Solanum lycopersicum: one gene and its partner. The protein of the gene in region 1 interacts with the protein of each later gene in a pairwise test. Links are inferred from orthologs where the notes say so. Each region holds a gene or a part of one and is shown on either strand. Other genes may lie near its edges.

The links.
Region 2: the proteins of protein CHROMATIN REMODELING 5 (region 1) and trihelix transcription factor ASIL2 interact in binary tests that used the Arabidopsis thaliana proteins (3 or more experiments, as listed by UniProt). The link is inferred for Solanum lycopersicum from reciprocal best matches to the Arabidopsis thaliana genes CHR5 and ASIL2.

The regions. Positions count from the first base shown.
Region 1 is NC_090811.1:69,078,099-69,081,923, reverse strand, and holds part of protein CHROMATIN REMODELING 5, read right to left. Parts: intron 3,816-3,825; coding exon 3,372-3,815; intron 2,880-3,371; coding exon 2,655-2,879; intron 2,513-2,654; coding exon 2,429-2,512; intron 1,874-2,428; coding exon 1,814-1,873; intron 1,731-1,813; coding exon 1,627-1,730; intron 1,389-1,626; coding exon 1,337-1,388; intron 412-1,336; coding exon 348-411; intron 88-347; coding exon 1-87. UniProt on the Arabidopsis thaliana protein: DNA-binding helicase that specifically binds to the promoter of target genes, leading to chromatin remodeling, possibly by promoting deposition of histone H3.3. Probable chromatin remodeling factor.
Region 2 is NC_090802.1:66,860,607-66,865,073, forward strand, and holds the start of trihelix transcription factor ASIL2, read left to right. Parts: upstream 1-1,423; 5' UTR 1,424-2,513; coding exon 2,514-3,602; 3' UTR 3,603-3,641; intron 3,642-4,199; exon of another isoform or gene 4,200-4,215; 3' UTR 4,216-4,467. UniProt on the Arabidopsis thaliana protein: Transcription regulator that may repress the maturation program during early embryogenesis.

The DNA of each region.
Region 1 (3,825 bases):
CCAGAAAATTTAAGCCTTCAAGCTGATAATCTCGAAGTTTCCCACCCTTTAACCATTCAGGCTGCTCTTCAAGCTTCCTCAAACTACCTAATAAGGTATCAGTTTTAAATTGAAAATGACATCAACATTCAACAGATAGCAAGAAGGAAGACAATGAACAATATTGTAAAGAAGACAGATGAGATGGGTGAGGCATGTATCTAATTTGCCTATAAGAGTTTATCTGAGACTAGAGACAACACAGAAAGAGATGCAAAAGTATGGAATGACGAGTTGAAATTGGAGGGGGCAGATGTTAATAACAGAATAAGAGGATGAGATTAGCTGGAAAGATAAGAAGGTAAAACCTCTGCTCTTTTTGCGCTGGAAATCCACTGATTTCCCTTGTACCATAATGGCAGCCTCACGAGCCTGCAAATTGCATAACAATTATACGTTCTCAGAAGCAAGATTCAATGATTCAAAAGTAATTTAGTAAACAAACCTTCTTGACCTTAAAAGCGTAAAGAAAATAAACCTTTCGCCAAACTCAACCCCAAAGCTCAGCTATGAGATGAGAATTGCCCATAACCATAAGGAATAATGGTCCCATTCCCTCGGGCACAGTCAATAACTCCCCCTCACACATCCATGGGCTGGAAAATATGACATGGACCCAACACTGGGTAACTACAAACAGGGATGGGTTTGATTCAAATACTGTGATAAGAAAATGAACCTTGGGCCCGATCCAAAAAGACTACAACTTCAACATATGTAGAACGCTTTAACACACAAATCCCCTCGGCTCTCGTGCACCCCCAAGATAGCATGGAGGTCCAACAATGGAAAATAAAAAAACGAGAACGGGTATGTCTCTGATGCAATGAAAAGAAATGGTAAGCTCATGAAGTAAGAATCTCCCAAGACTTCATATGTAGGAGACAACAGCCCATTCACTTAACCAATATGGGATACTCCAACAAACACAATCTTACTGGTCACTTATCAGAATATAAAAGTATTGTGCATCAGGAGAAGACCAATGTTTCCTATGTGATATCTTCTATAGATAAAATTGGTGGCACGCTGATTTCATTCATCAGATAAATGAAACAAGCAATTACTGTGTGCTCAAGTTTCTCAAACACTTCTCCAGAAACAATTACTATCCAAAAACATTCACTAATTATTTTCACACTATACACTCAATATGCATGATCATATACATAAACTATATCTATATATACACCATTACTTAAGGAAATGAAAGAGTTAATCAGTAATGCTACAGCATAGGAGGTGGATCCGAGAGGGATATCAAATATCCATAAAGCATATGCGAACAAATTGCTACCTTATACTCATCGATGGCATCTTGACCAAAAGCAATATCAACATCCTTCTCCCTGAGATAACATGAAGGAGACCCGCTAAGACTCAAGCTTCAATTGCAATTTATATTATTTGTCAGCAGATAAAACAAATAACAAACAATCCATGGCAGGCAGAGGTGAGAAAAGTCAAGTACACACAATTAATCAACCATTCTTCTCCAATTAAACCGCAAGAAACATTTTCTATGTAAAAAATGGCAGGATAAAAAGAACAAAGAAAATGATACAAGCGCACAAACAATCTGCATACCAAGTTGCTTCAGCATAAGACAGCCCTTTCCATTTAACTAAATATTCTGGCACCACATTACCATAACCATCTTTGCTGATTCTGTCTGCAATAACTCTCTCAACCTAAGTATGCATCAACCAAAATGAGCGTTAAGAGCTGTGTGAACTGTGCAATGAGGTGACAGAGATCTCTAAGAACAACAAACCTGACTGTTCAGTTTGATAATATCCAAGTCCATTTCCTTGCTCACGTCATTTACCTCGATCTAATGGACAACAGAAAAAAGGGTCCATAAGAGAGGAGGCTGTAAATAATTTGAAAAATAAAGCATGCAGTTAACTATAAAATTATCTCTTTGACACAAGCCAAATTATTATTTTTTATTTTTTTTGGGTGGGGGGGGGGGGGGGGGGGGGTTTACAGGAAACATCTACACAGTTAAACGGCAAGAAGCTCCTTCAACAAACTTTGAAACTTAAAACTGCAAAAGCAAAATGTCCCCCACCCAAAAAAGAAAGGAACAGAACAACCATCGCTCCATGAGTAGAGTGACTCCTCTTTCTCATCTATCAGAAATTTCAAATGTTCTCACAAGTCAGCTTCTCATTTCATGTCAGCTAAATAGCCGTGAAGGCGTGAACCATGCAAAAGTCATTAACAAATCAAATTTGAATCTATCTAAATTGTCTTTAAAATATTTCCACTAAACAACCACAAGCACACGTGAGAAACTAAAATAGCCCATGCAAGTCAAGTCCTTTCTACTGGACTAAGAAATATGTATCTCAGAGATTCTTGAGAAATGGTGCATAATTCTCACCTCCTCGCGGGATACAGTCTTCCTATACTTCACATCCTCCATGACCCTTTTAGTGTAATTCAAAACCTTCTTAAACCCACTAAGCTGCTCAAGCATGGAAAAAATCAAAGATAAAACTGAAATTAATCACTTCAATATATAGCTATCGTAACAGAATATGAAGTCTATCATACGAAAGTGTAGCAACATGAATTTGTTACTTGAATACAGATTTGAAAAGGCATACATTTTGTAGCTCAACAAATGACTTCCATTGACAATGCAAATGAGACTGGCCTTTCCATTTTATCAAGAACTCCATCTCATTCCAATCTGGTTCAGAGTCATACAAATGACTCAACAACATAGGATCAGCTGACTTGTTATTCATTGCAGCTTCTTCAGCCATGCCCTTTGGCTGATGCCATAAAACTTTCTCAATTGAGTCACAATCTTCCTCTTCAAGTTCTTCCTGTTGCATGAAATAATTGTTACACACTATCAATCAGGGCTAGAAAAGATAGAAAGGACATGAAAAGACTTGCTGATGTGAGATAATAAGCAAATATATCAAAAGCCATATTCACAAAGCACTAGCAATTTCATCAGGAACTTTTGTTTTTTAAAATGCAATTTCACCTGGCACATGCAATTGGTATGAAGGGCAAATGGCTCATGCATTTTCCAGTGAAAACGGTCAATGATATAAATGGCACATAAAGAAACTACAGTAAGAAGGTAAAGAAATTAAGATTCAAGCTATAAAATACATCCACCAGAACAAGTTCAAACAACGGAGGTTGATTTTGTTTTGGGCTGTCCCTGCATACTTTTGATGTAATTACGGAGTTGCACACTATTGATGTACTCCTTTGTTAATAATAACAGTTAACTTTCTCAAAAAAAAAAGTTCAAACGACAGACACACAGAAAAATGTAGTATGCATGGAACCGATGATAACACCTTTTGGCCCTTCTTTTGCTTGCTCTCATCGATTTCTTCACTTTCTTCACTCTCTGCATATGAAACCTTCCGAACTGACCGACGACTCGAAGTTCGGATTTCACTATTCCTGCCAGATACACTAGCAGCAGAAGATCTACCACTATTTTTAAGGCGGAGATTTGCAACTCTTCTAGGTTTATTTCCAAAATCCTCATCACTCTCGTTTTCAGAATCATGTTCTGATGATTCTTCCTCTTCATATGATGTTCTACCCCTTTTCTGTCGAGCAGATGTAGCAAGAGACCTAACTACTCTGGTAGATTTTACACTATGCCCACCCCTATTCTTTTGCTTGCCTTGGGATTTTCTGTAAAATTCTTCATCTTCATCGGAGATGCCCACCTCATCATCGTCACTGTTGACCTCATCAGACTCTCCACCCTCCCAGTCATCATCCTTGTCCTGTAACAGC
Region 2 (4,467 bases), on another chromosome or scaffold:
TTTTACAAGTCTCACTTTGTCATGCAATTTGCTTACAATGTTTATATTTTTTTTTTTGATATTCTCCATTTTGCAGATCAAGAAATGGGAGGCATAGGTTATATAGGTGTAGCATAATGGAAGTTTTTACTAGACGTTGGAGTCATCTGAAGGAACATTGCAGAATGAACCACCATGAAGGCCTGTAATTATGCAGTTTAGTTTACAGTAGCTAATTCAGCCTGTGAGGATGAAGTTGCTTAAATTTGATTTCTCCACCATACCCCTCTGGAAAACATGTTTACTATAGTCATGTAAATTACCTCCTGATGCCAAAGAATGAGGTGAAGTTGTTTGTTTTCCCCTTTATCAAACAGGTTTTATGACGTTACAAATCACAAACGGTTTTTTTTTCAAGGATACCTGTAGACTTCACAATGATATCCTTTTGACGTTTTCTTTACAAGAGGTTCGTCTTGTAAGTAGAGGGATTTAGGTGACAAACACCCTAGCAGTCACCATATTAGCGATTTAGCTAAGCTTCTGCAATATTATCAATCATCATCTCAAAAGCTATGAGAATTTACAACGTATCATAAACATATATAATTAGTACAACTTTGATAGGCAAATTAGTCGTCTATATAAGCTAGTAACCTTCATTAGGTTATATTCCTTCATGAATAAGGATAATAAGAAGCTAAGGAATCATCATATTCCTTTTCTTATTGATCATGTTATGTTTTACTTAGAGTTGAAACTCTAACGAAAAGGGAATCTCTCTTCTTTTACAATGTAGGGGTAGAATTGTGTATACGTTGTTGTTAAATAATCCATCATATACTAGCATAAATAAATCTCACTGGGAGTCGATGCACACTTTAGGCAAATGCAGATGTTGATAGAGTAATAGTATAAAAGACATATATAGCATTAGAAAAAACAACAAACTAGTGATGAAAGATATATATAGCATAATAGTTTTTCAGTGTCGAATGTCATTAAAGTACTCTAATAAGATCATTTTAATAAAAACACATTTAACCAACAAAAACATACTATAAATGAAATCCAGGAAGAGTGGTGCGTACGCAACATTACAAACAGCTCATACAACTAAAATATAGAAAAGTGTAATATATTTTCTCTCTCATTGTTATGTCATCGGGGATGTAGCTCAAATGGTAGAGCGCTCGCTTTGCATGCGAGAGGCACGGGGTTCGATCCCCCGCATCTCCATATGGTAGATTCATTTTTTTCATACCTTGTTTTTTTTAATATATAACACATGTTGAATTCTTTTTTTTCTCATACTTCATAACGTATGTAAATCATTTCTTTCTCATACTTTATAACGTATGTTGAATTATTTTTTTCTCATACTTCATAACGTATGTAAATCATTTTTTTCTCATACTTTATAACGTATGTGAAATTATTTTTTTCTCATATCTTAACGTCTCTTGTGAGTGATGTGCATTATTTCTCTTATGTTGTCAATTTGAACTATTTCAAGCTAAACTTGAAAAATACAATAATTTAAAATTATATCAAGTTATCAATTCAAAGAATTTGGCAAGAGTAAAACTTGACCAAAAGAAGTTTATTTTTAAAATTTCTTCAAGACTTTATGACCAATAACATTTTATTATTTGAAAATAGCGAAATGATTCAAACACGTAATTAAGAAAGCATTATAGTTATGATATTATAATCTTACTTTTCGCTAATGATTGATCAAAAATTTTAGATCGAATTTTGAAAATATATCTTCAAATAGTTATTTGATTATGTAATTTGATCTTCAAATATTTCAATTTCCTCCAAAAAGTTTGGCTGTAGTTTTTTTTTTTCCGGTAGTTGTTATACACAAAACCTTTTTTGAAAAATCATGAAAATACATGTTCAAACATTACTTCAAATTTCAAAAATCAAAACTTCAAAAACCCAATAATTTTAGCTTCAAAATTTTCGATAAAACGAAAATTTACTTATCCTAAAACTTGTATTGTTTATATCTTAAGCCTTTTATTGAGATATCTTCACTAGTTTCACAAAATAAAATAACAACAACAACAATACTATGATCAATTTCATAAGTAATATTCAAAAAAGAAAAATGTGTAAATATCATATTCAATATCATCAAAGTAATTATAGTGTCCTGTTAATTATGTGATAATGTAAAATATTGGAATATTAACAAACCTTAAGCCGGCCTAATTGATCTTTACGCCGCCGGTGACGGATTTTCTGTAAAAGTAGTCGTCTTTCCCACCTATACCTGGCCGCCACGTGTCCTACTCCTCGGCACCCTAAGACCGACGCCGTTACACCATCCTCTGTTTCTTCGTCCACCGATAAATTGTCCAAAAAATAAAACTTTTACCCAAAACTAAACTCAATTACTAACCAAACAGTCCCTCCCCTCATTATATACCGCCGGTCAACCGAAACCCTAACCAAAAATTCCTTCTTCATCATCTTCTCACTCAACTCTCGGATCGGCGGCGCACCGGAATCGGTTAAAGTTTATGGAGAACGACGAAGAAACTCAGTCCGGTGGTTCTGGATCTCCGGAATCACCACGATCTAACGGGAGGATAACGGTGACGGTAGCATCAGCGCCTCCTCAGAACACCTTGACGTTGGCTCTACCGATACAGCAATCGAGACCTGCTGGAGCGTCTGGCGGCGGTGGAGGTAGTGGTGGTGGAAGGGAGGATTGTTGGAGTGAAGAGGCTACGGCTGTACTGATCGAGGCTTGGGGTGAGCGTTACATGGAATTGAGTAGAGGTAATTTGAAGCAGAAGCACTGGAAAGATGTTGCTGACATTGTTAGCAGTCGGGAGGATTATAGAAAAACGCCTAAAACTGATATTCAGTGCAAAAATCGAATTGATACTGTAAAGAAGAAATACAAGCTGGAGAAATCTAAGATCGCTGCGGGTCAAGGACCAAGCAAGTGGCCTTTCTTTGATAAGCTCGATATGTTGATAGGTCCGACGGCTAAGATCAATCCTACCGTCGCTGCCGGACCGTCTAATTTGTATTCAGGTAACCAACATGTGCCTATGGGTATTCCTATGGGAGTCAGGTCCCTTCCTCAGCTCCGACAACATCAACAGCTGCAGAAACAAAAGCAACCGTCCCGGAAAAGGCCTCACATGGATTCAGACACATCGGAATCGGAGTCTGAACCGGACCTTTCACCTGCTTCAACCGACAGCTTTCCTCCAGGCACATTTCAAAAAAAGAGACCAAGGTTTCAGAAGGAAATGCTGAATTCAAGCGCATTAAGGGGAGGAATTGGAGAAGCTAGTGGAAACAAGAATTGGGGGAATTCAGTGAGGGAGTTGACACAGGCAATACTAAAATTTGGGGAAGCATATGAACAAACAGAGACCGCGAAACTGCATCAAATGGTGGAGATGGAGAAGCAGAGAATGAAATTTGCGAAAGATATGGAATTGCAGAGAATGCAGTTCTTCATGAATACACAATTGGAAATTGCACAGCTTAAGCACAGGAGAAGTGAAAACAGCAACCATCACAGCAACAACCATGCTGCCGCCACCAGCAACCATAACAACAACAACAACAACAGTGATAACAGTATTTAAGGTGTAATAAAGATCCATGAGGCTCAGTATCTGACAGAGGTTTGTATTTGTAATGTGTTTAGTTTTACTGCTAAACTTCTTACTTCATTTGAAAACCAAGTGGTAGAATATTATATACTTCATTAATTCTCAATTGGAAGTTTATCTAACTCAACTAAGCTTTCCAACTTTGCCTTTACTTTTATACCATAGATTGACTTACATTTATTTGAACAACAATTAAATAGTCTTTTAACTTCTACAAACTCCATTTTGTTTATGGAGTTTAAGTTCATTGGCCTCATACAGCAACAACTTCGGTTTGCTCCCAACGATGAGAGTTCCTACTCGAGACTCAATCAAGGCTAATGTGTAAAAGGTGTTCTTGCTTTTATACAATGTTCCATAGAGTAATAGGTAGCTAAAATTAAGATAGAATAGGCCAGCACATCCTACCCTTCGGGTGGCCTAGTGATTTAGGCTTCGACTTCCATGTTGATCAATGTTTACCTGCATATAACAGGATGTGTTGCCTAATCCCAATCGTAGAAGGATTCCTTAATTGACAAAGTTTTCTTAATTAAACTTAAAGAAAATTGCTTTCCTTATTTAATTAAGGAAAATTGCGTGGAAGGTTTTCTGCTATTCAAGTCAACTGTGAGGAGGAGTTGTTGCAGTAACATAGCAAAGTTAAGGAGTTGAAGATGTGACACCTAAACTAAGTCGAAGAAGAAGTTCGAGTAGGAGTTGGGTTAAAGAAGTTTTTCTTTTTGCGGCAAAGACAAATAAGAAAAAGATTCCAAATTCAAGTTGAGTTTAAAGAAGTCAAGTTCAAGTTGAAGATGTGGCAAAAGTTAAGTTCAAGTTGAACAAGGAGTTGAAGAAA